Drosophila melanogaster: one gene and its partners. The protein of the gene in region 4 interacts with the protein of the main gene of each other region in a pairwise test. Each region holds a gene or a part of one and is shown on either strand. Other genes may lie near its edges.

Evidence for each region.
Region 1: the proteins of CG8508 (region 4) and Jhbp7 interact in a two-hybrid assay, tested with the Drosophila melanogaster proteins (one large-scale study listed by BioGRID).
Region 2: the proteins of CG8508 (region 4) and Svil interact in a two-hybrid assay, tested with the Drosophila melanogaster proteins (one large-scale study listed by BioGRID).
Region 3: the proteins of CG8508 (region 4) and CG15576 interact in a two-hybrid assay, tested with the Drosophila melanogaster proteins (one large-scale study listed by BioGRID).

What each region holds. Positions count from the first base shown.
Region 1 is NT_033777.3:25,233,241-25,241,448, reverse strand, and holds Jhbp7 (juvenile hormone binding protein 7), read right to left. Parts: upstream 3,836-8,208; 5' UTR 3,737-3,835; coding exon 3,670-3,736; intron 3,613-3,669; coding exon 3,375-3,612; intron 3,250-3,374; coding exon 3,004-3,249; intron 2,949-3,003; coding exon 2,747-2,948; 3' UTR 2,554-2,746; downstream 1-2,553. Other genes in the region: to (takeout), read right to left, coding at 274-581, 636-775, 843-1,083, 1,199-1,259; Sil1 nucleotide exchange factor, read left to right, coding at 6,052-6,187, 6,251-7,404.
Region 2 is NT_037436.4:2,383,788-2,393,033, reverse strand, and holds the start of Svil (supervillin), read right to left. Parts: upstream 5,043-9,246; 5' UTR 4,268-5,042; coding exon 4,253-4,267; intron 3,770-4,252; exon of another isoform or gene 3,699-3,769; coding exon of another isoform or gene 3,450-3,698; exon of another isoform or gene 3,314-3,449; coding exon of another isoform or gene 3,194-3,313; intron 3,134-3,193; coding exon of another isoform or gene 2,849-3,133; exon of another isoform or gene 2,800-2,848; intron 2,766-2,799; exon of another isoform or gene 2,761-2,765; coding exon of another isoform or gene 2,611-2,760; intron 2,552-2,610; coding exon of another isoform or gene 2,099-2,551; exon of another isoform or gene 2,045-2,098; intron 1-2,044. Other genes in the region: CG32298 (uncharacterized protein), read left to right, coding at 2,099-2,551, 2,611-2,760; CG32299 (uncharacterized protein), read left to right, coding at 2,849-3,133, 3,194-3,313; Mzt1 (mitotic spindle organizing protein 1), read right to left, coding at 3,450-3,698.
Region 3 is NC_004354.4:4,248,598-4,256,006, forward strand, and holds CG15576 (uncharacterized protein), read right to left. Parts: upstream 4,194-7,409; 5' UTR 4,042-4,193; coding exon 3,670-4,041; 3' UTR 3,273-3,669; downstream 1-3,272. Other genes in the region: CG43135 (uncharacterized protein), read left to right, coding at 1-60.
Region 4 is NT_033777.3:13,183,594-13,191,048, forward strand, and holds CG8508 (uncharacterized protein), read right to left. Parts: upstream 2,904-7,455; 5' UTR 2,876-2,903; coding exon 2,072-2,875; 3' UTR 1,933-2,071; downstream 1-1,932. Other genes in the region: CG14380 (uncharacterized protein), read left to right, coding at 4,997-5,047, 5,114-5,293, 5,358-5,633.

The DNA of each region.
Region 1 (8,208 bases), about 12 Mb from region 4:
TTTTTATGGTATTTTACAGAATTCTTTGTATCACTTATAAATAATTTACAATGTGCTAACTACATATATGTAACTTTTATTGCCACACAACACTTACAGATTATTTAGCTGAGATGGCTTAATAGTAGTTACTTGTGTTCTCACTTTCAAACGCGAAACACGAACTCCATTAAACCTAATGATGATTGCTAGCCTCAAAACTTAGATCTGTCAGTACGCAAACAACATGATCTAGTATCTTTATGTGGACTCTGCCCACTTTGAAGAGCTAACTCACGATTCATCCGCAAAAAACTTGGCATACGGCAGTTTGGAGAACACACCTTTGACGACGCCCAGGTAAAGTTTGCCAAAGGATCGGTCGATTGCTTTGGCCGTCTCCTTGTAAATGGCCTCCGAGTTTTCGTTGAGGAAGACATTCATGTTGTCACCCAGCGCCTTGTCCCCATTGAACAGATTACTGAAATGGTAGTGGCTGGACTCCGGCTTCATCGTTATTTTCAGATCGGTAACGTCCAGGTAGGTCTCCCCATTCTTCACCAGCGGTTTGCCCGAGAAGCTGACGATTGCCCTGACGTTAACTGGACAGGATTTTTAGTTCCTCGAAATCTGAAAAATCAATTGGCATAGCTTACCCATTGTCATGTTACTCTGTCCAGTTCCGCTGATCGGTAGAATGAGTACCTTGCCCTGGATGTTATAGGGTCCAACGAGTGAGAAGGTTTTCGTGACAATTTTCACTTCGTGCTTGGCGGTGAGATCCCTTCCGAAACCCCTGCAAAGATCAAGGCAAGTTGAATCACATCCTTCTCATCCAAACAAAGTGTTGTTCCTGCACCCACTTTACTTTGACGATCCTTTGGTCCTTGATCCCATACAACAGATTGTCGGTGAAGGTTAGAGTTATGCCCACGGGACTGGAGCTCTCACCCTGGCTAATAACCATCCGATCCACCTTCAACGGATCCAGCTGCATCAGGTTCAGACCAGGATCCCCCTCCGCCGAGTTTTCGCTGAACAGGGTGTTGCACAGCTTCATGATACATTCGCCATCACCATACTTACAAGGTTTTGGATCTTCGGCTGTGAGGAACACAAAGGATTATTTTGGAACCGAAAAGTAGAGGTAGGTGTCTATCTAGGTTTCCCAGATTATTACTTCATTGGCAAGGTCTTGTTTTAAAGGACTTTCTCTTACGGAATTTGGCATCCACCGAGACCAAAAGGCACAAAACCACTGCGAATGCGATTGCGAACATGCTAACACGTCTATAACTTTAAGTTACTGAATACGAACGGGATTTTCGCCTAGTATTTATAGTGGTCCACTAAGTGCAACTCAAATAACGTCTAATGGCAACCTTTGATATAGCTCTTATCTGTGCCGTAACCGTCTGTCTGTCAATTCCAGAGCTCGTTTCAGAATCATCAACTAATAACGAATAGCAACTGAATCATCTGATGGTATTAGGTAAGAAAACGTTGTTCTAATTTCAATACAAGCCTTAGTTTATCACCTCATTTGGGTGCACTTTAGACAGCAAGTAGATCATGTAGCAAATCTTCTTATTCACCTTAATCTTCATCAATCAGTTACATCGAAAATCCGCTCAATGAATTTAAGTATCAGACAGATTATGTCCAATTAAAAGTCATGGTATTAAGTTCTCCCTTAACAAAGTTAACTGGCAAGTGTGCAACTCACAAAAGGGCCAGTTCCAAATATAGCCGAATTGAGATGCGAAAACAACGCAGTCATCGTGACCACCAGTTCTTTAGTTGGCTTTAGTTCTTGCGAATCGAAGTGAAGGGCAGTGGAGGAGTAGCGGTGGAGTAGTAGCTCGGAACAGGTCCTAGACTTTGGGTTAACTTAATGACCAAGTGTCCCGCTTTAAAGTCCAGCCCCCGTGGAGAACAAAAGCAACTTGTTTCGCTCGGAATCGCTGCAGTTGATTGCTCGCTCGTGGAAGATTTTCACTGACCCAAGGCCAACTGGGTGTCCGATTCCCTGGGATCGGGATGGCAGCTATACCGTTGGCTACTCTTGAACTTGGACAGTGAAATGAGTTCGCAATGAGTGACAGCACAGTTGTGTTCAGATTAATAGCACTGCCATTTAGTTAGTTCTTGATTCTAAGACAAGCAGATCTTAGTCATATATCATATCATCATATCATATACTAATTTTAGTGCACTTTGGGCTAAATTAGTTGCACAGGATGTAGGAGTAGTAGTAGGAGCATGCATCTTCGTCTTTTTTAAGACACAAAGTATTTGCTCATAATAATTAAGGTGTTTATTTCAATTTGTTGGATGTTTTAATACTTTAAGCGTATGTATAACTACGCTTTTATCCACAAGTATAGTCACCTTAGCAATAATGCCTTTGTCATGCAAATTTCGAATCAATCGTTCCATCACGTGAGCTGCCTGTTGATTGCTGATTGCTGGCCAAAAATGAAACAAAAAGTGTATGCGACACTTGTGCGGAAATAGTGAGATCCACGTTTTAGCTAACAATGGCCCCCCGCAGAAGCAGAACCAGTTTTTTTTCGAATGTTTTTGTTTATTCTACAAGTTAAAGCTTAGCTTAGCAGATACGATGATACGATGATGATGTGTCAATGGCCGGAATGCCGGAATGCAACGCCCCATGTGAGTGAGAATAGCTTGGATAGGTGAGGAAATACTCGTACACTTAGCCTAAAGTCCTAGGGCGCCTGATGGCGACTAGGACGACTAGTGCTCAGTTCTCGAGGAATAAATCCTCGTAGGCGAAGCGCTTGAAGAGCTGCGAGAGAACGCTCTTCATGATCTCGGCGATGGCCACATGAATGGAGGGATGCAGCTCGTTCCACACCTCCGTCCAGTTGTCGTTGAGGAACTGATTCAGATTGGTGCCCAATGCCTGGTCGCCATTAAAGAGGTTCTCCAGCCGAATGTTCATCCTGTGGGAACACAAATATGTTAGTATATCTCAGCTAAAATCCGAACTGCACCTACTTTTGTGGCTCCACCAGAACCTTGAGCTTATCCACGCTCAGGTAGGTGCGTCCATTGCGCTGCTGTGTGCCCGGCTTGAATTTCACCGAAAACTTGGGATTGTGCAACACGATCTCGGCATCGCCATCGCCACGAATCGGCAGGATCAGGATGCGTCCATCCGCCACGTACTTGCCCTTCAGCACGATCTTGGGAAAGGATCCGTACATCTCAAACTTGCTGGTTGCAGGATCAGCGCCAAAGCCACTGAAAAATACGATTATGATGGATAAGTGCAATCAACTTAATATATCTTCTTCTGTTAATAAACATGAGAACTTCTTCACTTTTGCTTAAGAAGGAAATCACTTTTCATTTCACTTGCTACTTACACGGCTCTGTCGAACTTCACACTGGACAGGCCCTCCACATTCACGTCCCTGAAGTTGAGCTTTAGATTCAGGGAGCCAGTGCGTCCGTCGGAGATGTCGAAGCGCTTGATCAGGAAGGGCTCCACCTGGGGGAATCCAGCGGACGGATAGCCGGTCCTCGCGTGCTGTCTGATCAGCATGTGCGACACGTTGATGATGCAGCTGGTGTCGCCCATGTGGCAGCGCGGCAGTTCGGGAGCTGCAAGGATAAGCTGGCGATTAGCGAAGCACTGGGATTGTTGGCCAAAGGACTCACGGAAATTCGAGGCACCGCTAACCAAGCAGCAGAAGAGGGCCACGCAGCCCAGCTGGAGCAGCATCATTCTGGATATGGATCTAGTTACGTACGAAATTCAAGCGCCCCGAAATTCAACCGCTCGACGATTTGGCGAATGCCCGACCAGGTTCAATGGCAAACTGTAAATCGGCTCTGGACAGACGGCGGCATTTATAAAATTTCTGATCGGCCAGAACGATGGAGCGGCAACAAATGTGGCCAACAACAACCAGTACACTTCATAGTTTATTCATTCCTGACTTGTCGCGTCTTGGCCCTTGTTTTTCTTGTTGTTGCTGCTGCTGCTGTTGTTGTTGTCTGTCTGATTGCTGGCTATTTTTATTTATATTTTTTTTTTATTTATTCGTATGTGTATATCTCTTTCGCTTCGTGTTATGGATTCTCCTCATCATCATAGACATCGCAGTCTTTATCTTTATCGCAGCTACCCCTAACCAGAATTGGCAGCAGCATTATTATTAATTAATATTATTAGCATGCAGCAACAAATAACAATAAACAATAACAATGGCAACGCGCACAAAAGGCAGCGAAACTCAAAATTTTAATGCTCAATCCAGTCAGTTTTCAAGCAATTAACCAATATATTTCCACTTATCCTGCAATGCATTATATATATATATAATTTAATTATACATATATAATTTGCACTATATTTCGGCATCTTGTGTACTTTTTATAGATTCAAACTCCGTGAAATGGAATCCGCGCTTTGTTCACACTTTTAATAAAGTGCAAATATCAATTCGTACTTATTGGCTTATGATATTATTCATCCCATATTTGCTTTGAGATCAGCACTTGGAATTGGGAACCTACCTCTGGGGGAATTCCTAAGTGTGCTAAATGGCCAGGCAATCTGAAAGGGAATGATAATGAATAGGTCATGGTTAAGGATCCACGATAAAAATCACTTAAGTTATGAAATTGTATTCCGACCAGAAGGAAGAATGCATCCCAAGGCTCCCAACTATGAAATTTCCGTTTTGGACATATGTACGAAGATAAATCTTTTTGTGGCCAACACAACTCAATTCCGACATAAACCAATTAGACATAGTCGGGCATTTTGGACGACATCAAACAGGTTCCAACGGCATCGATAATCGATAATGGATGGATCGACGGATAAAAGTTGCTCGGCGAGGTGGCTTCACTTTCAAAACTATTGGACAGGCGACGTTCGGAACGGGCCGAGTGAATTTAATTTGGCAAATTCTAGTTAAAGGCTCCTGGCGTTCGTCATCAGCAATTAGCATATACTACATATATACATATGTATATGTATATTTGGTGTGTGATTGGCATGAAACCGGCATTCTGTTTATTTACCCATCCAATTGGCGCCAGGTGAGTCCAAATATTTCACTTTTGTCCACTTTGATGTGTTTGCGCAGCCAATTCCTAGACGCTGTCGTAGACATCGAGATTACAACGGATTTTCGGGGGCGAAATATGGTAATATATGCAAACACGCTTTTATTTTATTACGTCGGGCTTGCCTGCAAATAATTTGGCATTTCAATTTTGAGTTGGTTGATTCATCTGCGCGTAAACATGATTTCGTTTTTCTTTGTAAACTCAGTAAATACGTTTAGTTTATAACTAGTTTAGCTACGTTGTAACGAAGTGGAAAGCTTATGAATGGCGGTTACTTTTCAATTTTTAATGAATTCACGATGAGTTTGGGAATTTTTGGTGGCATTCTGGTTTGATGTGGTTTAATCGTTCTGAATGGCATTAACTTTTTCTGGTTCTTAAATATTAATTTCAAGTCTGGAAATTTCTAGCAATGCTTGTTTTTCACAACAAACTAAGGTTTAAAAATATTAATATTTGTGTTCGTTAGGGATAAAAATTAATTTGTTAGCGAAATAATGTTTGAAATCATTTAAAGTTTCCAACTATTCCGGACTAAGAGCAAAAATTAACCATAAAAATTTTTACTTAATTTTTGTATTACTTATTTATATAAGATTTGGCTTGGAATGTCCAACAGCACAATCTAATAAATATAAAGAAAGATTATAAAGCATACATATAGTTTACACTTTTTCAATACTTTAATATATTCTATTGTTTATAACGAATTTATTGATTACAAATATTTTCAAATTTGAAATTGAATTGTAACCGCCTTTGACTGGTTCCGAATCGACTGGCTCTCCACGGAACATATCGCCACATGCGGTATAATCAATGCAGCTCCCTACGGTCATACTATTAACCACATCCACATCAGAAGTCTGAAATCTGATTTAAAAACTCTCACGAAACTTACTTAAAACCAGGTGAAATAAAGACTGAATACATTCTGGAGGCAAGACAAGCTGAAGCAGTATGAGTGGCAAGCAGGTAGTCATCCTTCTGGGCAGTGTCCTGATCCTGGGATGCTTACAAGTGGCAGCGGCAACGGAAACGGATAACAAAACCAACGATTTCGTGGCCACCGACGAATGGCAGACGATTGCGGAAGGTTAATGGCTAGCCAGGCTAACTCTCGGATGACGTGTACTAAGTGAGCACTCTATATTTCCAGGTCAAGCTATTCCAAGGGGCCTGCACGTGCGCATCAACCTACAAACGGGGCTCAAGGAAGCCAAACTCTTAGACGAAAGCGAACGTGGCACGTCGCTGCAGAGTCAACCGGATGATCAGAATGCTCGGGAATCTCACGATGACAACGAACCCCTGGCTCTGGACTATAAACCGGACATAATCGAGGAGTCTATACGGCGGGTCAAGGAGCAGAAGAAGAGCTATGCCGAGCTACGCAAAGCGTACAAAGAGTTCCAGAAGAACTTTCGCACCGACGGAGAACTGATCGTCCAGTTAATCGATCAGTTTCGGAACTTCAGCAGAACGCCGCTAGAGTCAGAGATGCGCTCCAAGCTGGACTGCCTGGAAAATCTGGAGTATTTGCTCCATCAGATAGACAATGCCTTGATGTTCATTGATAATGGGGGATTGGATGATGTACTACTGCCCATTGTTGTGAACGATACCAGTACATCCCTGAGAGTGTCGGCCATGCGTGTGTTGGGCTCGCTGGCGAGCAACAATCCCAAGGCCCAGATCAAGGTGTTCGAAAAGAATTTCGGGTCTCATCTGGCTCAGATTCTGACCAGTTCCGGAAATGTCGGTGAGATCTCCGCTGCATTGCACGCCTTTGGAGCCTTGTTGCGGAAATTTCCGCTAGCCCAGCAGCGAGTGCTTTCCACCTCGGGTACACAGGCTCTGATCAAGGTGCTCCAGAGTCCGGATGTGGAGCTGCGGAGCAAGGCGAAGGTAGTGACTCTCATAAGCGACCTAGTGCTGGAGAAGCGGTCAGTGCTGGATGTCAGCAAAGATGATCCCGAAGCCTCATCCACAATGGCGCAATATGTGCTCTTGGACTTCGAGTCGTGGCTGAAAACGCCGGGCTACTGCGCGGCGGTGGACACTGTGCTAACCAAGGAGTTCCTGCTCCTCCTAGAGCAACCGGAGGTGGTGGAACAGTTTGCCACCGCATTGGAGACCACCGAAGATATGTGCACCAGCACGTGGTCGCAAAGTTCCGGTCTCAGGCATGCACTATTAACCGTTCGCAATCGGTATGCCAACAGCACGGACGAGTACCGACTGGAGGTGTCCCAGATTTTGGCCAAACTGTGCGAGAGATTGTTCAACAAGCCCAAGCACACCGAACTGTAATCCTAGCCAATTTACTATGTTATTTATGTTAATTTCATTTAATTGTAAGCTGAGTTGGAATGAAATTCGCAGCCAAACCATAGAATACGATAGCTAAGATGCCAAGTACTTGTGATGCAAAAATAATGCTCTTTGTCATTAACTTAGGATAGCAATCAATCATGCCAAACATCTACAGGATTTTCGTTATCAAATATAGTCTCTTACTTAAGATTATTTTAAGTGTGATTTTTTTTTAATAGGCAGACGATTCACCAACGAGCACATCAAAATAATTATGTTGTTACACGTCATTAAACTAGCAAAAATTTGTATGCTACAGAATTGTTCTCCAAACAGATTATGAATCCTTAAAGCCTTAAGTTCTTGTTTATTGTAGCTACAATAATAAAGCAATGACCTAATGTTTAATTTAGAAATTCTTTCTTAAATCAGTTGACTTCTTTTCAGTGGCATATTCTTAAAATGTAGTGCTAAATTATGAAAGGAAATGTATTTTCAATCAAGAAATCGCATTAGGAGATTGGATATTCCACCCCTATAGAACTACAGACCCATTTAAAGCCCGATAAGGCGAGCATAATCGACCGGGCCATAAAGTAAGTCAAAAGTGTCGGAAGGAAAGCAAAAACGCCGAGGAAAGCATGTCCCAAAAAACCACTTGAAGTTTGAATGTGAGCCAAACGAAGCCACAAGAACAGGGAAAACCTGGCACGGAACTGTACAGGAGGAGAAAGGACATCGGAGCAGGAGAGTGCAATTATGTGCCGGCAAAGTTGGAAGTTGGAGTCGAAGTCCAGCGCG
Region 2 (9,246 bases), on a different chromosome or scaffold from region 4:
CTCGTATAGTCTGGTGTGGCATCTTCGTTTTGCCCTTTGTTTTTCGCTGTCTGTCCGAAATCTGAGCATTGAAAATTGAGTAATATGCACGGGTATTCGGTATGCGGGCCTCTTTGGAGATGGGTTAGTCGAGATTGGCGGCCAGTGATGCGGCATTTTATAATAATGCTGAGAGAAGAACGATGAGGCGTACTATTCGAGTATTGAGGATTGGGGATTGGCTTTTTGCCGTTGCAGGCAGGTTCACAAGATTGAAGATTCATTGCTTCTCTGACAAGGCCGGTAGCCCAAAGTGGATAAGGGGAATGCAGTTAAAAATGATCAAGATTAGCGCTTGATGGAAAGTCAAGGTGAGCCGGGTTTGAAAAGTTCTTAGATAGTCTTCGGCTTAAAAGCTTTTCAACAAGAAACCCATGGATTGTTAGATGTAAAGTGGTGTATTCAGAGTTCAAATGTATCTTTAGCCAAGCAAACAGCGCGGTAAATCTTTATAAATGAATATGGTTGCTTTAATTGATCTTTCAGCCATTTCTACAGCATCAGAAAAAGTTTTCACTCGAAAAAATCACTGTACATAACCATTTCAAACTCATAAATTAAGCAACGTCCGTTAATGTAATCAAAACTGTTTTGGCAACCGATCTCCACCGAATTTTGCGCACTTGACACCTGAAGTGTCGTCACCTGTCACACGAGCAGACCTTTCACGGAAACCCAGACATTTACAGCTGTCAATTGATTATACAATTTACCAGTAAAGTTACCAGTTAATGGTTTCTATCGAAAATTTTATTAACATTGACCGCAGTCAAAGTTGCAATTTCACACGATTCGGGGAGTGAAAGAGAGTATAAGAGTATACACCCACCTGAGCAGACTAATTGCAGGTGGGCCCAAAAGCGAGTTGGCGTTTTGGCCAAAGAAATTTCGTTGTGGTGCTGATTTATGCTCGAGTGTTTTGGCAACAGGCCGAAGACTTTCAAAACGATTTATTTGGCTTTTGCAAATCATTTTCCAAATTGAAATTGGGTTAATTGAGCTTGACTTTGAACAGTTAAAAGGGTAGAGGCATTTTTGTGTGTAGGCCGCAGTTTCAGAGAAATGTGGATAGAATACTGAGAGACGGAGAGTTTCGGAATCGATCTGTGTGAAGTCGTAGAAATGCAATTTGTGGTTTCAAAGCGTCTTGAATGAAAGCCCCATTCAGGCTCAACGCTTGAGTAGTTTGGTCTGAAGATGCTGGAAACGGGGAGAGATAATGGCTTTAAAATGGTAATGCTGATACTCTCAGGTAAATAAGTGGGCAAGTGGATCAATTCTAAGTCTTCTCAATTCATCCGCAGATGCAGAGAACTGTTAGAGTGTTAGATGTCAACTTTCCACATGATCGATGAACCATCAGGAGTGGCTTAAGAATATTCCAAACGAAGTCCGCTAATCAAAGAACTATCACAATAGAACCAAAGATTTTCACTTCATTAGGTGCGTCTTTGTCCCGGCAAAAGCCATACAACTCCATGCTGTCGCCGAAGGTAAGCCACATTTTCAACCGAAAAACACAAGACCCAGTGGAAAGACTAAAAACACACAATGAACTGATGAGACACCTGCCGTAGTCCGAGCCGTTAGCAGTTGGCCACTGCCACACAATGGACCCAAGTCGAAGTCGAGCTGGAAGTGGAAGTGGAGGTATCTGGTATGCAACCTGTAGATATGCGCTTTATAATTGCATGAACCGCTGCACCAACTGACCCACTTCGGCACCACACTGTACACCATACACCATATAGACTATACTCGTACTCGTACTATAGAACCCCAATCTTGGGCACCCGCAGTCCGGCAATAATGAAGCTTGTTCTGCGGCTTCTGTGGGCCCCCAAAATAAAAAGACAGAAAATAGAAAAATGAATAGGGTAAATTAGTTTAAAACAAATGTAAGCCCGCATGAACGAACGAGTTAAGGCGATAATTTATGCAATTGCCTCGAGTCTTTGAACTTTTCAAACGAAACCAAAAACCCAGCAAGCTATTCTTGTTTGCTTTGGCACCTTTGGGAAAATTGAAAATTAATAGTCAAAAAGTTCAGCTTTTCAGCATGGATTCGCTGCTCCAGAAGATCTCAGAGCTGTTTCATAACTTTACTTCCCCCATTGCAGCGGTGGTATACAGTCCTAAGAATGTAGAGAATGCACAAGAAACCCAAACCACTGCAAACCAAATACCAGAAGCTTCGAGCCAGGAAACTGGGAAGCCGGACTCTGATCGAACTGCACCTGATACCACTGAACCCCTAACCTCTGGTGATATTCCAACCCCAGATGTCAAGTTGCAAAAGTTTAGGGAACAAACGGCTCCAGCTTTAAACTACGAGCTAGAGTTTGTTGACTTCGTAGATCGCAACGCACCTCAGGGTCTATCGAAGAAGATAATTGATATATTGCCCTATCTGGAGGTCAGCTTTTTGTCCTGGCCAGCGTTTTGGATTTGGCGCGGCTACAACTGGCAGTCCGCACGAAAAACGGAGAGAATCGCATTTTACATTCAAAGGGTTTGAAATATAGCAGTCTACCCCGTGCAGTCTAACCTATTGAAAACTATTCATTTCAGACCTATCAACAGGCCAAGCTAATGCAGTTGGCTATCTTAGCCACTGGTCTGTTCACGATATCAATGGGTCGACCTGCCGGCATACCAATAGAAATGCATACAGTGCACAATAATCAGGAAGAAACAGCTGACATCGGAGACTCCTCTTAGTTCAGGTAAGCCTTGATATATGTTTCTGTCCAAACTTTACACACACACACAATACACAACTTTCGGTCGAAAATTAAACCTTTCCAAGATGGGCATCCAAAATTATTACGGCAATCTGAAGGAGAAGTTCTCGACGAGGCTTAAGCGAAAGGAGGAGGAACCAGCCAAGGCAATAGCCCACCCACCTCGGATGCATAATCTTGGCGAGGAGATACGTTTACTGGTGCATTCGCAATCCTTTGAAAAGGCCTACAGTACTGCAGCACCATTTCTTTTCGCCAGTTTGGGGGCGTGGCCGGGCTATTGGCTGTTCAGAGGAATGGATTACCATGTTCATCGATCGCACATTCCATTGCCCATCTATATAAGACAGGTGAGTCGTTTGTTGCTTCGGTTTGCTATAAGCTTTTATCTAAACACATTATCATCTTAGACCTACTATCAAGCCAAAGTGGTGCAACTTTTCATTATCATGGCCGGCACATATACCGTTTTCAGAAACGCCAGTCGCTTGCGTTTGATGAATGCAAATAGAGTGGCGAAGTCTTCTTGAAAGCCTTCAAAAATCATGCAATTGGATGTCCAAGAACCAGCGTCTTACAAATTTCGGAAACAGACCATCGGAAAGTTGAACTTTTAATTTAACAAACACAAAATATAAACACAAAAATATATTTTATATTCATTTCCTACAAAGTTGAGTCTGTTGATGCAGCCGATTCTCCGGAATCATCACTTTCCTTATCTTCATCATCTTGAATCTCCTCTCTAATGGTTCGAATTACATGTGCTAGTGCTCCACCACAGACACCATTGTCCACCAGTTCGATGCAGATTTTAAGGGCTTCCTTGCTGAGACCAGAGTCCACTACATCCGATAAGGTTTGCAGGATAGTGAAGCGATCGTCGGATTTATGTTGTGTCGGTTGTTCTGACATACTTATTCCACAAATTTTGATATAAACTCGGAATAAATCTCTAAATAATTTAGGGCAATGCTGACAGATAACTCAAAAGCAATCGATTGAATGTATATCATTTACAAATGATTAATGGTTATGTCAAAATATTTGAGTTCCCTTCATAATCTCAGGCCTGCACATTTGTTCTGCTAACCCGAACCCCGATGCCTAACCGTAATCCATTACCAGCTGTAAATCGTAACACCGTTTCAAGTTCAAAGTTCAGTAATGAGGCACCTGCTCCAGTGAACCCCCCCCCATTTGCTCGACATCCGATCTGCCCGCTGCCAAGTGGAAAGATAAATTAGCTACAAATTAAACAAATTATATACGCCAGAGATGCGTGCCTCTCACAGTCATTTCAAACGGAGGGGAGAATTGTAAATGCTGAAAATCTCAGCTGGCGGACAATTAAAAAACGCTTAAATGAAGATCTTTTTCAGTCGGCAAGTGCAGTGCCGCCAGCATGTGATAAGTAAGAGCAAACACTTAATCGTGAGAGGGGGATCCATTGTATCGCTTGGCCTCACCTGTATGAGATACATTTTCCGCTTTTTTTTTCGACGCTCCACGCAACGAATGCTAATTATGCAGCATCTGATGTTGTGATGATGAAGTGGTTACTGTCTTGCTCTACTTGGAATGCAGCCTCACTTTGTATATATGTTTTATGGGTCTGGTGCAATTGCGATCAATTGGAAACCGAAAAGAAGACAATCTCGGGATTTTTTCACTTAATGAAAATCAATTGAAAAACGTTTTCGCTGCGAAAATGTAGAACTTCACTTGGTAGCGAAGCAATTTGCAGCTTTAACTGAGGCGTTCAAACTAAAACAGTTGGCCGTGTCTTATTGTACAGTTTTATATAGTCGGGCTATATAAACGCAATTAGTCAGCAGCACGTAAACACAAACTTAATGCTTGTCTTGTGGTAGTTATTATTCGACCGATCGAAGGGGGTAGTACATAAACTTTTCAGAGGGTGTTTCCCAGCTTAACACACTTTGCTTGCTATGGCAATAGGTTTGCAAATGCCTTTACAAGGTGTTCACACCGCACAAAATCGATCAAACAAATAATTTCAAACACGATTGGCCAGCTCAATGTATGGGAACTTGAGCGGTCTATTGGTATTTCGAGGTTTCTCTTCGCTGTTTGTTTATACTTTATTTATTTACACAAATATGTACAGTTCGTGGATTTAGGTTTAGTGCGTGGTTTAGTGCATATTTTAGTGTATTTATCATTTGAATATTATTTTAAATTATTATTCGTTAACGCGTTTGAATGACCATCGTGTCTGTGAGTTGAGCGCGAACTGAATTGAAATTCCGCTGGGCTGTAGCTGCAAAGCAGCTTGTGGATTGTATCTTATGGATTCCATGCAACCTCATCATGAGGTTCGCTTCGAACATGTTTGGAAATATCTTTGATAACCAACGGATCAAACAGGTTGCGGACGATTGGGAATGTTCGAATATGTTCCCAAGATTCCCCGGGGCTGCACTTGAAATCGCTTCGACATTTCTTGATGTCACAACTTCGGAATTTGGATTATTCTGGGGATGGAGGCGCCCACTAGGAATTTAGTTAATTTGTTGATTATTCCGAGCACCATGGATGGGGCAGAAATTGGGCTTAATGAATGCTAAATGGTTTTAATGGGTGAAAAGACTAAGGGATGAATAGCATGGGGCGAACATACGTGAGTTGGTCATGGGATAGAAGTGGATCATTCGTACTTTTATGATAGTAAATAAAACTAAATATATAGTGTCAGGCACCCTTTGGAAAACCAAGATTGGCTAGCCAAACCTAAAACCTCATAACTATTCATCTCTCCACACCCAGGCGCATATCTCAGCTTGTGGAACGCATTGCAACAGGTTCGCTGGGCATTAAAAATAAAAGCTGCAGAAATCCGTAAGGCGAAACAAAAACGAGACCATAATAATAATTAATACCAATCGGCCGAGAAACCCACCGAACTCCGCCAAAGGAGAGAAGTGCGTAAGTGAAATGAAGAAAAACAGGAAATTTTTCGCAGCAAAAGTTGCGAAATATTTCATAACCTGCCAGCGAGAGATGACAAAACTGCAGATGGATCTGCATGAAGAAATTTCACTCAAATATCATGGCGAAAGGAGTGTGGTGTCTTGGCCAATAATCGTTCACCCTTGAAATCGGCTTGAAAAGCAGCATTCAATTTGCAAAAAAAATGAAAATGAAAAGGAAACTTGCGGCCAATTTCATTGGCCATGCCCGCCCGATTCTCTGGCATCTTGTGGCACAAATGTGTGGCACCGTGATAAATGCACCGAATAAGACGGGAGAAATAAAATCAAAATGAGCTAAGACAAAAAACCTGCAATCAGCAAACGAAAGTGAAACAAAAGCGTCGACGAGCGAGCAAGAGAGACAGGGAAAAGACATTGGGAACGCTCAGCGAAAAACTTGCAATTTCCATTTTAAATACGCAACAACTTTCGGCTAGAGGCAGGCAGCCACAGCCACAAGGAGTCCACCTCGTTGTACTCCCCGCCCCTCATGCAGCTGCTCAAAAAACCATAAAGGAAGGGGCGGGAGGCAATGGAACTTAGGACCAGATCCAGACTTACACTTAGAGAAAGTGGCACGAATAAGTGTAGTAAATTCAAATATCTTAGTTATTAAGAACGAGCTACATAATAATATACATATTTCCAAAGATTTTACTATGTAACACATCGTTTTTTGCGTGTATCCATGAACACAGAAACGACTTGGGCCGCAAACTCCTTGACTCGGCGATTTGTTGTCTGTGGATCGTCTGGCTCTTGATTGGAGCTGCCCTCCAGGAAGCGGACGAGGAGGAGCAGGAGCAGGAGCAGGCGAGGTAGAAGGAGCTTGTGAAGCCGTAGGAGTCTGGGCGGATTGGCGCTCTTTTGTTGGGTATGTCATCAGCATAAATTTCGCCTCGCATTCATCATAATTTTCATGCATTTAATTTGTATCATAAATTGTCTGCTTTAGACTCCTAGAGTCTGACACTGAGATTGCAAAGGGCCATAAATGCTGAGTTATGAAATCTTCAATTAGTTCTGAGGGTCGGCAGAGCTTTGCTTATGCCAAGTTCCCAGCAAGTTCAACGAACGACTGGCATTTTCACTTTCACTTAAAGCAGCAGGGAAATGGGAAATGGGAAATGCAGGTTCAATGGTCACGCACTTGGCAAAACAGCAGCCGCAGCAGCAGCAACATAAGCTAATTGACATCCCTAGCCGGTGTCTGATTACCCAGCAGATTTTGCAAATGAGCCGGACAAACATTGGTACAAACAATCCCATACACTTGAGATACAACGAAATGCATTCGCCAGATACAAAGGTACTGCGATGCAAAGATACAAAGACACAAATTCACTCGACGCACGTTTGAATGCTGTGCAACACGACGATCAATAAACAACAAAAGACTGGCAGACTGTCTGGGCCGAGATGGCCGGGATGGGATCGTTGTTGGTCAGGTTAAAGATCGTTAGGCGCGACAAGGGGTCAGGTAGCAGTGGTGGTGAAGGAGATATGTTCGTATGATGGCCACGATAATCAAGGAGTGGAGTGTATCTCCGTTCAGTTCATTTTCCACTTATTTCGCTAGCCGCCTGACCAAATGAGCCAATAACTTCATTGGTGAGCATAATTATGGGCTGCATTGATTGGAAAATCCATTATGCGCCTCGCTTTTCAGACTGCACATGCTAATGGCTCCCTTTTTACGAGCCACTTCCTCGCAGGAACCGGGGATTACGCAACTCCTCCCCCGGGGGGGAAGTCCTAAGTAAACAAATCAACTCCGTTTTTTATTGACTTACGCAATGATTTCCTTTAACTGCCTATGGCCCAAAAACGATAGCAGTAAAACTTACCTGCGCGGAAAGGAAGAGCACAGACAGATGGCATTAGTCATATGTATACGAGGTGTACATGATATGCGTGGAAATGATTAAGCAATTTCCGTTGACATGCCATTTTCCAAATGGACCAGCCGAGAGTGAGAGTGCGGCGATAGCGAAATATATACGTATCTGCAACTGCAATCGCTCATAAATCAAGTTTGCTCCATCGAGACTTACGTTCATTCGGTTTATGGCGACAGATTTTGTGGCCAACCAAATGCAGTTAATGGTCAGGAATGTGGCGAAATGTGGCGAAAGGGAACTGCCGATATAATAGAGAGTTTCGGTTTCGTGCCGTATTTGACTGGTGTTTAAGCGAAATGATTAGGAAACCCGCTCACTAACAATTTTGCTCTAGATACTTGGGTAATTATACAATAGTAATCAGTAGTATACATAAATTGGATGGTAATACCCTTAAGATAATATACTCGAATATAAGTAGTGTAAGGATCGTTTCCTATATGCCCATTCAATATATATGTTATAATAGTAATACCTTAATTTCCCACGCCAATTATCCCTGATCTAACCATGCAGCTTCCTTGATGCAATTCGCCTTCATTTTCCCACACCTTTCTGATGTCTCAACTGGTAGTTCTCGAGGAAAACAAACCGCAGATCATCTGGCTCTACGCCTATGAGTTCCACCCCCAAACAACTCAAACACCTGCTGACCTGTGGCGCAATCTTTTTCCACCGATTGATGGATGGGACACTGTCAGGTAGTCGCGGGCATCCACCAATTCAGCAGATACTTTCTGCCACATTGGTGTGAAATTTTGTTTCGTCTGAGGCAGCTCAAAGATATGTCTTTGAGGCGTTTTTGGAGCCCATCAGACCCACTCACTCTGCGCCAAGTTCAATGGACGCTGGTTGGCAGACGCAGAAAAGGGTCTCCTTTTATGCTTCTTCAATTTTATGGACAGTTAAACAATTATATTTGGTATTTACAGCCCGCCAGACGACCATTCGAGATACGCCATGAGAAAGATGATGCAATGCGGCAATTGACCAGCCACTGGCGATCAAAAGAAGGAGGAGTAGATGGCTTCAATCCAAGGAGCCGACCGGCAATCCGACAATCTGCCACTTGGCACTTTCGATTTTCGCTTTCGCAGTTAAAAAAGAAAACATTTTGTTGCATTTTTTCCAACTGGTCACGTAACGAGACGCCCAGCCAGCCAACCAACCATCTGACCATTAAGAAATTCTCGAGGATTGGGTGGGTGCTGCAGTGCCGGGGTATTTGGAGCTTAAGCAACTGCACCCGCACCCACCAAATCGAGCTGCCTCGCCCGGGCGGCATAAATCACTGGGGAAAAGCGCAGCCCAGTGTTGCCATCGCAATTCCATGGTGTGTGCATAAATTTAATCGGGCGTTTTATATCAGCACCTCGACGTCGAAACTAGAAGACAATGCGCAATTCGCCTAAATATAGCACAGACTTTGAGTCCGTTCGTCATGCCAGATGCAATCTAAATGAGAACCGACTCCCGCTCCGGATGGACAGCACGTCCAGATCTCAAGTTATGATGGTTTATAGTTGAGGAAAAATACGAGTACTCTACATAGTCTCATGAATTGCA
Region 3 (7,409 bases), on a different chromosome or scaffold from region 4:
GTTCAAGAATTAATAAAGATCTTAATGCAAGATTTGTTAAAACTTCCGGTCACGAGATAGGATTATCACTTATAAATAAAAGTCTATTATTTTCAAAAATTTCGAGTGAAGTGTGTCTTTAACAAACAAAAGTCTTAGCAGAATTATCTCAACAGCTTGTATTTTCTCGAGTCACCACATGCTTGTGGCGACTGTACCGCATAAGCCATCGGGAAAATGCCTAAAATTATGCCACAGCCCGAGCAAGAAGCTCACACATCTTGTGTTCTTGTACAAGAAAATGTGTTAAGAAAATCTTAACGAAATTTCTCACGTTTGCCATAATTACGAGAAAAATACGTGACATGTGTCTTGACTGCGAAATTTACCAGGGATTGGGTTCTGTGGCCAGTACTATGGGCAAAGTAATGCATATGCAAGGTCGACGCGTCGCAGAAGGGGAAACAAAACGGGTGCCGAGTTGTAAATGGCAATAATACCAATAAAAATCTGTGTACAGAACCCCCATCCCCCCTATCGGTGTAATTCATAAAAATCTCTTGAACAAATGTTTGTGACTCTTGGTCGTGACTCGCCGCCTTCTGGAGTAAAAAAAAAAAGAAAACATTAATGCCGTACGCACACACACAGAATGTTGCCTTTTTGGCAGAGCCTTCGATTCCATTTCGATGGCTTTGAATAATTCAGGCAAATGTGGTGTGTTCCTTCCTCGGGAGTCGTCTTAAAGTTCCCTGAAGTTTGTCCTCCTCGACGCGCTGATGAGGAGAGGAAAGGGGATTCTCTCAGAGGACGTTGCGTGATTGAATTGCGGCCTGATTGACAACTGACAGTTGAAATTGATTTGGCTGCAAAGTCGAGCGGTGCCGGTGGTTGAAACAAACCATCCGGATCCGGCACAGCCAAGATGGATACATCAAGCTGGGCGAAGCTGCCGAAGCTGGAACAGCGAAGTGCGAGTTGGGGTGGCGCTGCAAAGAGCCACACTTATTAATCCCCCGAGTGCAGGCGTGCATAAGTATCGGGCAAATGGATTAGAAACTTTTATGTGCACCGCGGTGAAATTGAGGGCCTGCACCGCGAAAAAGGCTAGGGAATCCCCAGAGGTGCTTGCACTCAATAGCACATGGCAATCAGCCACAATTTGTGAAGCTTTGCACAACTACTTATTAAAATGACAAACGTAAATGCTTCCAGAAACTTAATAATTGCTATAATGAGCAAATAATGGCATATATATAGCAGTTGATTCAGTTGAAATACACGTTGTGTATTAACCGTTTTTTTGGGTGTAGGTGAGCGAGTTTGTTGGCTAACTTCTCGGACCAAAGGATTCCGCACCCTCGAATCTGATGCTATTTAATTAAGTTGAACGGACGAAAGGGCAGGGGTGGTGAGTGCTAGCATATGTACGAATAGAATGGGGTGCACCACCACCCACTGTCCTTCAACAACCCCGCCCACTACACACCTCCCCACCCACGTGCAGCCTTCCACTTTGCCACATTTGTGTGACAGTTAATGAACTCCCGTCACTCTTTCGCTTTTGTTTTCGCTAATCAAAGACACAAGCGGCATGTGAGCGGCATACGCAATGAGGCGATGGAGTGCAGTCAATTAATTGATGGATGATGTGCATAATGAAAAGCGAATGGGGAATTGTCAAAGGATCCTTTGGACGGTTGGGCAAGTCCCTCTCTTTGGGCATTCTACAACATCAGGGCTGCAACAAAACTTAAACATCAGAATTCTTTTTCCACATTCTTTCATCAAGCCTATACAAAACTTCACTGGCGTACATGTATGGGTTTTCTTTTTTTTTTACCTGTCCACTATTCAATGGCAGAAGCTCATCAAGGAACTCCGCCCATCGAATGCCGGTCCATTCAGGTCGATGGTTGCACATCCGGGTGTATTGATTGCTTTGACAAATCTGAGGCTCGTGTAATTTCATTACAAAACCCCCGAATCGGCTTCAGCATGGGATTACCACAAAAGCATTTTTCGAGTCGACTCGAAGTCTATATATTCCCCAAAGTGAGGAGAGAGATGGGCCAATGTCTGGTCTGTTTTGGTCTGGTCTGGTCGGGTTTTCCAGATGCTTTTCCTCACCGCCCTCGTTGTGTATGAAATTAAATTCAATTGTGTGACAAGTTAATCCTATTTCTCATCTCCCAACTTTTATTTAAGCTTCATTCTTTATGCATTACATGCGAACTTCGTGGGTGAGTGAGTGACACCGGTCTTGGTTTCCAAGGCAGTCGGCGGTCCATCAATCAGTCAATCAGCCTGCCAGCCAGCCAGTCCGTCAGTGAGTCAGTCACTCCTTTGGCAGACGTCATAGACTGTCAGAAATGTTTGATATGTATGTATGCTGCCCGCTTTCTGTCTTGGAGCCCGTTTCAAAAAGTGAAAGCGAAGGGTTGGCTGTCTGGATGTCTGAATGTCTGGGTGTCCCAAGGGTCGGGGCTTTTGAGTGCCTCCCTGACTCCGACGATCCAGCAACACTTCATTAAACGCATAAAGCAATAAAATGTTCTCTCGATAAGCAAAACAAAGACCATCCCAAATGAAACCCCATAGAAAAAGGCTACGAACTTCGTCTGACAGCTTGACGTCGCCTGCTAATGGCAGGGGGAAAAAAAAAACCAGAATAAATAGAATAAAGGACGGCATCTATCTACCCGAATTGATACTCTCGAGTCCCTGCCAGTTGGTCTCAGTGATTGGGAAGTCCTAAAGCTGCTAGAAGGCTATAATGAAAGTCAAACACCCACTAAAGTTCCTATGGCTGCGCTCGAAATTTTCTTTGATTATGCAAATGTCACAGCTGAGAGGGCAAAATCTGTTTCAATTGGCATCCTGATTTGTCTACAATCTATGTATGTACGAATTTCAGAATAAATGCATTAAAATAGAAGCTTTCATTGAGAAGTTCATTTTAGGATGAAGTAAGTAAAATGAAGTGCTTATATTGGGGTCAAATTCATCTAGAATTGAAATGGCATGCTAGTCATTTCGGGGAATAGTTAACTAGTGCAGTTCAATCAACTTTCCGTGCGCTTTTCCCGTATGTTTGTCACGCCCCCATTAACCCCATGGAAAAAGTGACATGACAGACAGGAATCAGACTTGAGCTGGGGCTCAATCCATCACATCAGTGCGGAAGAGACCAGTCATCATCATCATCGTTGTCGTCAGTGCGCTTGTTCCCCTCTTGGCCACCATCGTTGCCCACTGACCACCATTGTCATCCCCGTATCCGAATATAATATAGAGTAGCGGAATTGTATCTTTATTACGATAATTGCTCATTGAACAGGAAATTATTATATGCGTCCGGGGCTCGGCATGTCCTCCAATTCCAAAGCCCATCAATTTTCTTGGGGAGATGGAAAAATCATCAACCCAGAACTCAACGGGGATATAATAATAGAACAACATGCGTCCGAACAGGGTCCGTTCTTCTCCAAGGGTTACTGGTTCAGGTGGCAATGAGAATGGAAGTGGTAGTGGATTGTGTTTGGGGTTTCGGGCCTTTTAGCTGATGATGACATTTTTCTTCTTTTTTGCGGACGACGCTCAGAAATGAAAAAAAGGACATCACACACGCACAGGAAGGGGAGAGGCAAAAGACAGTGATGGCAAGTGTGGTAAGAGAAGGTACAGATCCTAGGGGTTTGGTGGCAGTCCCCGCAATGGTGGATGATAGTCACCAGCGTAATTACCATAGCCACCGCCATCACAATCGCCCTCGCCAATCAAACCGCTTGGCATCGGAGGCTCCCTCCAGTTCCACACGCCGATACTATCGCCGCCTCCCATATTTAATTCCGTCCTCCGTCGATGTAGCATTACACGCATATTGATCATGAAACGATTCACATCCCGCTGATGATCGATGCGCAATTGAATCGGTGGAATTTGGGTGATTCGACGTTCATCAGTCGATGGCTGTATATTGCGCTCTTCTTCGCCCGGCACGCGATCCATATTCAAGCGAATGCGAAAACTCTGACCTGGATTTGGCCTAAATGGATTCATTTTGAATATTTTAAAGCTGTTCTTACTGAAATTTCGATCGAAACGTTCTGCTGCTGTTGGGGATTTCGAATAACTAATATTTTTCTGACACGGTAGCACACAATACCGATTGATAGAAATCTCAATGAGACCTGAGCATCTGAAATATGTGACAAGACAAATAAAGCTGAATTGTGGAATGGTATTATGTGAAATATTGTACAAGAGATAAGAGATAACCAAAAAATTTGGATAACTAATTCCGACATAATCCGACTGGGGGACTTCCGGTGAAATATCTATGCGATCTATGTGGCCCACAAGTACACATACTTGTGTACGCTCGATGCATATTTAATTAAACTTTCACCTACTCAAAGACGACAAAGAATCTTTGGCGAGGGCGACAGGAGACAAGTCCAGAACACTTTGGTCTCTCGCTTCAATCATTTTCATGGGGTGGATTGGATGCGCTAGTGGATGTCCTAGCTCGAGGACCTGTTACTCTCATCCTGGTTCCTGAAGTACTTAAAAGCAACACGACAAGCTTTAATTAAATCAGTTTTAATTAATGCAAAATGCGAAATTTCAAAAGACGTCGTTGAGCAAGCGCTTGGCTCAAATTGCCGACAACATGGAAAACAGAACACAGAGGCGGTGAGCTCCAAAGGACCCCAAAAAGGATCCGCATCCCCTCGAACGCAACGTTTTGTTGTCGCATAATTACAACTCAATTGTAATCCAATTTTGGCCAGGCATATAAATCCGATTCAGGCACAAAGTCACGCCCCCGGCCTGGTGTCTGTGTCAACTTTTTCGGTGTCAAATAAATAAACTTTTGACAGTCGGCAGACAGGCCAGCGGGGTTTTCCGAGCTCCAACTCCGCCCGAAAAAGCCCATCCGCACACCTTTCGCTTTTTGTGGCCACCACCGGAAATGGAAATTTGTTAACAATGGTGGGTGGATTGGGTTTGGTGGCATGTATCTGGGATGCCAAAATCAATGCCCCAACAGATGGATTAGATACAGACATCTGACCACGAGCTCATCCGTTCAACCCCGTCGAAGGCAGAACTCTTGATAACTGCAAATTAGTTGCACATGTTCCACATGGGCCACAACTCAAAACAAGACGTGTTTGCACTAATTTGGCCAAAATCAACAGCTGTGTGTACATGTGCTGCCATCTTCTGCTCGCTGTGTGAGTGAAGAAAACTCATCATAACTTTCTTATCAGAAACTTACTTCTTGCTCTTCAGATACCCAACAGAAGCGTTCCCAAAAAAATAAAATAAAATAAAAGAACGGGGGAACTAGCGAGATTCTGGGGCGAAAAACGAGAAGGAAAACAGAAAAATTGCCTAGAAAACTTGTTATAATTACACACTGGCACACACACACTGGCACACGTGCTGGATGGCCGTATGTGTATGAAAGTCGTGCACTTAAAGAAATAAAAGCGACTTCGTTATTAATGAAAATTGTCTATGTTTAAATATCATAAGATTTCATCAATGATTTAACTATGTTTGAATCGATTTTTTTGCGATTTTACAACCTCTATTTCATACCATTATTTTAACATGGTTCTGTCATCTATTTTCTCCATTTGTATGACTAACTTAGTGACTGCAGGGCAAGGAATTTGGAAGGGGAGACGTGGAGAGAGGGGGAGTACGAGGGCATGCATGAACAGGCAACATATGTTGGACTTTGGAGCAAACTTTTGCGAGTTTTCGGGGCGCCCTTCCACTATGCCCCTTGTGGCAGCTCCATATATTGGCACCTCCTCATCTCCTCATCGCAGGATTTCGCCGAGTGGAACTTGTGTGTTTTGTGGTTGAGTAGACGCACAGTTTAGGCCCAGAATGCAACAGCTGCGAGAATCCCCACTCTGGAGGACGAGAATGTCGTGGCCAACTCATGGTTGGAGTTTTGCCTGTTGCCGAGAGACCCCATGACAACTTCCTCACTAATCTGCCCGATGAGTCACGATAAGATAGATAATTGCATGGGGTAAGTCCTATTAGGGTTGCTAATTTTGGGGCTTTGGGGGAGCTAACTTTGGATAGAATATTGTGAAAGTTATAGAGGAGGTAAAACAAAAAAATTTGTTTATATTACTTTATTTACTTTATTTCAATGATAATATGTTGCATATTCATTCACGAACTGGCATCAACAAATTGCAATAAAAAGCAAGGGTTTACCAGTGTCTGAAAGGATCCCCGTTAACAATCGACTACCTGATTCCAATACCATTGTTTACCCCTCTCAGAGTGCCACAAAAGCCCCATAATATCTTTAAAAAATAATAATGACAACAGTTTCAATGGAGGTCTGGAAACAATCAGAGCAGCGGCCACATGATGCCAACTTTTCAGGGACTCTTCGCAGAAATAAAAACTCGCATCGAAAGCCGAGGGAATTGTTAACGAAGGCTTAAAAAGAATGGGGTAAATCCTACGAAAAAAAAAAAAACAAACTTTTGGGGCAACTTTTTTTGGTCAAACAAAAAAAAACAAAAGAACAGTAGCGAAAAAAAATCTATGTGGACAGCGCCAAACTGTCGGAAAATGCCTAAAAATGGTCCCGGCCAATGGGAAAAAAATAAATATGCCAATGAAATGGGCTGTTTTCCCAGCCCTGGGAAATGTGTTCACTGGATGGGGGTGTGCAAAACTGATGGCCCGTCTGGGCCAAAAGCAAAACCAGAGCCAAAGAGAAAGCCATGTGCTCGCAAATGCGGGACACGTACTTGCGCTATAATTATTTCGTACGTGAGCACGTGAGCCCGCCGAAAGACAATGAGTCGCCGAATCCGGAGAAATGGAAAACGGAGCCTGGAGTTCGAAGACCGGAGTACGGAGAGCGTCTGCTGCGTCTGCTGCGTCTACCGCCGGAAGAAGACGAGTCGGGCTAAGGTTAGCATAAGAGAGATTAAAGTGTGGACTTCCTTCGCATAAAATAAATATGGTGATAAACAAAAAGGATTTCAGCAAACTAACAAAATAAATAATTTGATCATTGAGATATTAAAGCTACAATAGACTTTTTTAGTTAACAAAGTCATTTTTTGCAACTGTGCATCAAAAGAACCAGACAAAGGAAACACGTGGCTACAGTTTTGGTACCCCAATCCCTAATTTTCAGACAGCCCCACAGCGTGACACAACATATCAAAAAATGTGTTTTTGGCGAAACTCCCTTCAAATAATATCCGCCTCAGGACATCAGAGCAAAGATCTTTAGCTTTCCAGCTGTCTTTAAGTATTGCCTACGTGATGATTTTTCTTTTAGGAAAAATTTATTGTCATTACCTGGAAAGTTGGCCGGAAAGTCTTGGCGTCATATTGGCATATTTATCATCGTTTATATTAATGGCTCT
Region 4 (7,455 bases):
AAGGACCCGTGCATAAAGAACATTTTGGTTTTGACCCGACCAGTTGAAAGCGGATGTGTGAGAGCCTCTGTTTATTACATTTTGATTATTGCAATCTCGTTTCTCGCAACCCAAGCCCAAAACACACATCAAAGGATCTCAAACTGATTTACAGTTGCCGAAAGTTGGCGAGAAAACAAATGGAAACATCGCTGAAAAAATCAAATCAGCAACTGGCGCCCAACTTTCGGCAACTTTAAAAGCATTTTAACTGCCGGCCTACATGGAATATAAATATAAATATTTATGCGAGTGGCCCGCAAAGCGATTTGTCAAAAGCGGTTCTTACTTGTGGATTATGAATACTTTGCTTGAATTTAGCTGACAGCAGAAAATTATTACACAATGATTAATATTTATTTGCCCGGGCCACTGAGCAGCAATTCCCGGCGGAATTTCTGGCCCAGAGTTGAGTTGAGTTGAGTCCAAGAAAGAGGCCACAACAAGTGACAATGTGCTGAATATAAACATTTTCTCCGACCAGCTACTCCTTGCGAGCAGCTCAAAATGGTATTTAATTCAGATTTATGCCTTGCACGGCATTGTGACAGGACGAAACCAGCACAAACACAAACACAGGGCAGCGTGTCCTGCGAAAATTATGATATTTGCCGGCCTCCAAGGCGCTCAGTCTGTTTGCCTTTGCCTGATAAGCTATCGAACAATAAAATAGTCTCGGCCTTGATTGGGGTTCGAAGTTTGCGGCCAAGGCAAATAAGGATATGCGCAAATAAAATAGCAATAAATCAAAACGATTGACGATCTCATGATGCGGCTGGCCTCAGCGATTAAGGCCTCAGTACCGAGATTTCGTCCCATATAAATAAATCGACTTGGGGTCGAAAAGTGATTTTGATTGTTATTTGTTTGCCGGCATCGGCATCGGCATCGGCATCTTAGTTAGCTCGCCTGTCGACTCGCGACTTGACAAGCAATTTATGGCGATATATTATATAGAGGCATCCATAATTTATGCCCAACTGCAGGAGAATCGCTGCAGCGGAAGTGCGAATCGTGAATCGGGAGCCAGGAATTCGAAGGGAAGCTGCCACTGTCAATAAGGAAACTTCATTATAAATTACCCAACTGACAGTTGCAGGCAGACGCCGGAGAATAATAATAATGGCAGTCCCGGCGAAAGTTAAAAGCCAAAGAAAACCCTCCTCCCCCCTTTGTCCATGAGGGCTATAAGCTCTTACCCAGCCCGGAGATTGTTTCAATCTGCTTAAGCGACCAAGTCGATGTCGGAATCGAAGGACCTAGCTTTTTGGCCCCCAGGCAATCAGGCATGCAACCAGATCTCCGCCAGATCCCAGCTCGACCCCTTCTGCCGTCCGATTGTTGTGCTTAAAATTGCTGAATAATTGTGCGGAAGTTGGTAGTTGTTGCATTCTGCGATGAAAATGGAAAAAAATGAACATAAAGTGAGGGTGGTCCATGAATCACATAAAAAACAAATGTCGCGTCGTTAGGCTAAAAGCTTTATGCAAATTTTCCATTGCTTCTTATCATATTCTCTTTGCCGTGCTGCAAGCTGAATGGAAATTGTATTGAACAGGGGATGAGATTGCATTGCGGGCTGGTCGATATGTATATATATATATATAAGTCCGATATCGGGGGGTTAATTGGGTGGACGGTCATTGTTATGCAGCTTAGGTCAAGTGTCTGCAATTAGGTGCAATTGTTTGAGAGGAAGTGCCATTTAGTTAAGCATTTGAACATGTAGGCTACTTACCAACCCCTTTTAAGAGCATTATTATTACTGCAACAGCAATTCGAACGCTTATTGAATCGGTTAGATTGGGTCTACTAAATTAAATCACATTACTTACGTTTAGGAAATGGGAATGCTTACACGAAAAAAAGTTGTAAATACTGTAGCATTATTTTAGCTTGTACATAATTTCATAAAATATTTATAATTTAAGACAAAGATTTAGTTAACGAGAGGCACCTAACTTGGAAAGCTAGTTACAAATTTTGTTGTTCTAAATGATTTCCTTGATGGCGTTAAAAAGCAAGATGATCTTTATACCTCTAAATCCTCTAGGACGTCCTGAAGCTCGGTAGCTACCCCCAGATCGTCGTCGTGATCTGATTTTCCCGAGTCCTCAGCCGATTTATCCACATTGCCACCCACCAATCGATCAGTATCAATACCAAACTTGAGTTCAAAGGGAAAACTCAGCTTGGGCACCTCGAAAGTGTGCATGTGGTAGTCGTAGTTGGTCTGCTCTTCTGGCGGAGCCGGGCAAGCGTGTTTAGCTTGAGGATTTCTATCTAAACCAGTCTGATGCCCCTCTTGTTCGGGATGCATATAGATGGTGTGTCCCGCTCCCGTCGCATTGTAGGCGTCATTTTCGGTGATACGCTTTGTGGAAGTATCAGGAGTTATTTCGGTATCGTCAATGAGTATGTTTATATCAATGGGCACGAGCATGTAGGTTTCTCCAGTACTTTCATCGGTTTGAATTTGGCTTAACTGCTCGTAGTCCTCGTCTGAAATGCAATCCAAATTTATTACATGGTCAGATTTCCAGCGAGCAATTTCCTTGGCGTCTGCGCGTTGAAACTTATCCGATTCCGAAGATCCAGTAGCTACTCCATTTGAGGTAATCTTAAATTTGTATAATAGCGGTTCTTTGAGCTGGACAAAAGCCTCTGGCTTACCAGCCTCCACATAAACTTGCACTTTATCCAGTGCATTGGCTATGAAATCATCGTTTGATAGCTCATTCCGCTCCTGCTGGCTTTCGTCCTCTATTTCCTGTGCCAGCAACTGCTGAAGCTTGATCATTTGCTCCTTGGTCAGATTGAGATCCTTTAGACTCATCGTTGCCCTGTACGGATTTAGGGATAATATATATTAGTAATGTACACAAAAAAAATATGATGATATTCGGAGTGATAATAATAAGATTGCGATAATGACTAGAAAATAAAGATCACTAGATATGGAAGCTGTGTATAAAAGTTTAGTTATCATAATTTCCTTTTGATTTTATAAAGATACTGTATGTCTTGGTTGCCCAAAATTACCAAAAACCCTATTGTATCTCATTAAGTATATAATATTTAAGAATTTTTGGCGAACATACATGTCAAACTAGTTTGCCAGTGCACTGGTTTCAAGATATGAATTGCTCTTCTGGGCTTCTATTCTATTGTTTGGAGAACGTACTTAAATTCAATTATTGTTTAAACACATCGAGAGACTTACCATCGTAATCTGAGACAAACAGTTGCTGATTGCCCTGAGGGCAGGGGTACAATTAAACAGCCTTGTCCGCACATTACCGCTCACGTTTTATGGCTGCCGTTTAAAAATATTGAAAAAAGCAGGGCAGGCACGAAATTGAAATGCCTGCCAGCGGGCGCAGCTTTATTGGCACCCGTCGACCAGGAGCCGGGGCATTATCCTGCAGATGGCTGCGGTCACTGGACATTAGGCGCTGGAGGACAACCGGTGTCCGTCGACAAGGCCAGGATCATGGCAGAACGGATACGGGCATTGTACATGAGATGGCGTCATTAAATACACATTACCCTGCCGGCGCAGGACGAACTCAGGAGCAGGAGCAGGAGTAGGCGACGGTGGAGTGGAGGCAGTCCGGCGATAAAGGCACAACAACCGCCGAGCAACAGTCGGCCAGCAGGAGAATGGCTATTAAAAAGCAGCCCGGGCCGAAGATAGACATGGTCGGCTACAGTGGCAGACATAACAAATTACACCATTTCGACAGGCGGTTCACAACAGGAAGGCAGTGCTGTTGAAATAGACTTTCCTTAGCTATTAGCTAAGAATATCAAGGATATTATGTATAGAGATTAGAAGCCAAATATATTTGTAAGACATTTACCATATCCATAAAACTGAATTTTAACAAAATAATTATAATATTCTCACGTTTCTTTATTTGCTCTAAAAATTCTGATTATGTCTTTAACAATTATTGATCAATTTTAATAAGACAATCGATCCTTGCATTCAGCTAGATAACCAAAGCTTTCTTCATTTTATATATACTCGAGATTCCCTTTGAAATAGCTATTTATTCTTATCTGCAATCGCCAGCACTGGATTGACACTATGGCCGGTGGTTCGATGGTTGGTGTTCAGTTTCAATTGTGCTGGCAAACGTGACTCCAAATTGGCTGCCGGCGAATAATTCATACGAAACACTTTCGCACCGTGCGCCTTGCCATTAGCATCGTACCACTGCCCCCACCGTCGGATGACCACCCACCTCCCACCACCCACTGGCACCCAAAGCGCCCACTTCGAACCACAGGGTAGCCCATGCCATGCCCCACGTAACCCCACGATTGCATTTACAGCAAATTATTTATGGCTGCGACAGACACGGAACAGGAAGCGAGTATGCGCTGCCAACTTCACGTCCATCAATATTTTATGAAACCCTGTCTGCAGAACGCTCCGCGCTGCTCTCAGCCGCCGGAATGGATGGGTTGGAGTCCTCGGAACAGGACGAGGGTATCTGCTTACATGGCTGCCTTGTGCCTTCTGCCGGCTGCCTGGCTGTCGATATCCGGTAGATGAGTATCTAAATTGCCTTTACTGTTGATGAATTAGCGCCGGCTGCCTGCCGCTCCCATTTGTGTGGAATGGGTGGCATTGCAAGTGCCTGCGTGGCGCAGATAAGCTTCCACGATGGGTGCAAATTTCAATTTGTTCTCGATGATTTTGCGCTCATCAAATAGGCCGGCAATCTAGGAAGACGGGAACACGACCTTGTTCGAAAGGATATGAAGTGAGAACAGAGCTACAACAGCAGGGGATTGGCAATTCACCAAACGGATGCACCTAAAATTACTCCATCATTCCTGTTGGAATAATACACATTAAAAATGAGTAGTAGAAAATGACTTATCAATCCTTGAGTTAAACATCAGTAACTGTTGCAGTATTTTTAAATTACCAGTTACGTCCATTATGTTACTCTCCCGCAAGGAAATCGTATCGTTATTGCTATTCCTCACGGCGGTTAGTTGCACCTGACTGCCATCTAATATCTGACCTTGTGACTCACCCCAGTCATCTGCTCCGCAGATCATTTCCGTGCTGAACGCGTCGGTGTTTGGGAACGTCCTGCCCCTCCACGTCAGTTATGAGCAGCTGGGCCATCAAGTGGTCTGCGTGGGAACTGCCTACATTTGCCTGATTTACGCCATGAGCACCTGGTTATACCACTCGAATTATTCCAGGACCCGTCTGCACATGCGATTGGTGGTGGGTGGTCGGCCAAATGGAGGTGAAGTCTAATTTCGAACATTTAAATATCCCATTTTTGCAGCTGGTGGCCATGATTTTGATTATGATACTGTTTAACTGCGCTTCTACCTACTACTTCCTAACCGGCGTTTCATTTTCAAAGCTAGGAGATTCCATGGAACTAATTTTCCTCTTTAGCAGCTTTGCAATGGCCTCCAAATCGGTCAGTTTGAGCATGTCGGCCATCAGCGTGGTGATCCTGATCGTGATCATGGTGTTACTCATTGTGACAATCATTCAGTCCCATAGAAGACACAAACGGGACAGAATGCGTTACCTCGAGTCGCAAAAGCAATAAACTCATCCTCATTCCCGTGGGAGTGCACATTAAGTTTGGTTTTTATGCAACGCCAAACATTTCATGTCGCTGCAATGTGGCGCCGTAGCTGCAATAATATAAATATTGCACTCGTACCTCGTTTGGCACAGACAGACACGAACTGCTCACCTCCTTTATTTTTTCACTCATGACACACCGATTCTGTGTGTGTGCTTTCTTCGCAGGTGATATGAAAAACATATACGAGTGTAAGAGAATCTCTGTTATTGTTTATCCAAGTCGCAGTGGGCATGCCCTGCCTTGAGAATAATTATACAATATATTTTTGTAATTCTATGTAATAAATGTTAGTTAATAGGGTTGAAGTTTGAAATTTTCTTTCTTTCCAAGATTTTTACTCATTCTGGGTCTTAATAATTTGGCATTACATACATTTTCGGTACCTTTTTTTCTCGATTATGAAAATGCCATCAGTGTATGCAGTGTATGTGTGAGTGCTTGGGCACCATCAGGGCCCAAAAAAATACCATTCTGGCCAGGATAAGTCTGAACAGTGCAACTCATAAGGGAGACAAGCAGCCTCTTCACATCGGCTTGTGTACCATTGCATTTTGCATAATGAAGCCGGCAGACAGTGCACTTTCGAGCATCAGACAAACGAAGTTAGGTACGAACTTAAAGGCTTGCCAAGCTGGAAAAGTTAAAGTTAGCTTTTTGGCACAAGTAGTGAGAAGGGGTTGGTAATTTGGGTAGGGGTTTTTAGGAGCGTTGTAGTAGCCTAATTACGCTCCAATGGCTGCCCATCAAAAGTGACAGTTGGCAAGGCAGGGGCTTACAATAAAATTTCAAGTTAAGTTATTGCCGCGCCGCTGGCGAGAGCTACGCGAATACTCAGTTGAAAGTAATTCCAAATTTAATTGCGCACAATTTAGAATGGCGAGATGTTGGCGTGCGTTTAATTAACTGAAAAATAACATAAAAAGCAAAACGAAAACAAAGCCCAATGACAGCCGCGGCGCCAGTGGAAATGCTTAATGTTAAATGCCAACTAATTAAATTTCGGGCATGCCAACGAAGTTGACTGGAGTTGAACTGCCGAATTTATTGTTGCATTTAATGGCCAGCGCAGGCGGTTATCCTTGTGCCATCGCTCGGCTTTACCACTTTTTATTGCGTATACGCTGGGGCACCCCCATTACGTATACGCAGTGTATTACGCCCCTCCACTCACAGCAGGCAAATGGACAGGCTAAAGGATTCGCTTTGTGGACAGGGATATAGGATGCCAAATGACGCAGAACCACTGGCATTGCGATTGTAATTCCGATTGGGCAAACGTCAGTTTCTCTGCGGTCCGTCGCCAAATGAAGCCAATAAAATGTCCTTGTTCGCACGCAAACGTGCGAAAGTGATTCATGTAAACTGATAAAAATTTAATCATATTTCACGTATTAACACGTAATTATTAATGCCTGATAAATGTCGGCAGTTGTGTAATATGTGAAAAAGTCGCTATTAATATGCATTATTTTCCGCTAGTTGTTATTTCACTGGGTAAGTAAAAAGCGCACGGTGTGTCCACAAGCTTCGGAAATACTTTGCTACGCATTACCATATAATTATAGTACTTTAAAAATATTTTATAGATGGTCTTAAAAACTTAAATTTCATTATATTTTACCACGCAACACTCCCGCTTGTTTTTTATTCAGAACAAGAACAGGTTATTTTACACCACTGCGTAATAGTTCTTTATTTAATTCTGTTCGAGTGTGTAATTTCGCTATGAAACTTCACTTTTATTATTATTGTCATTGTTATGTGTGCGAACGCCTGTCGG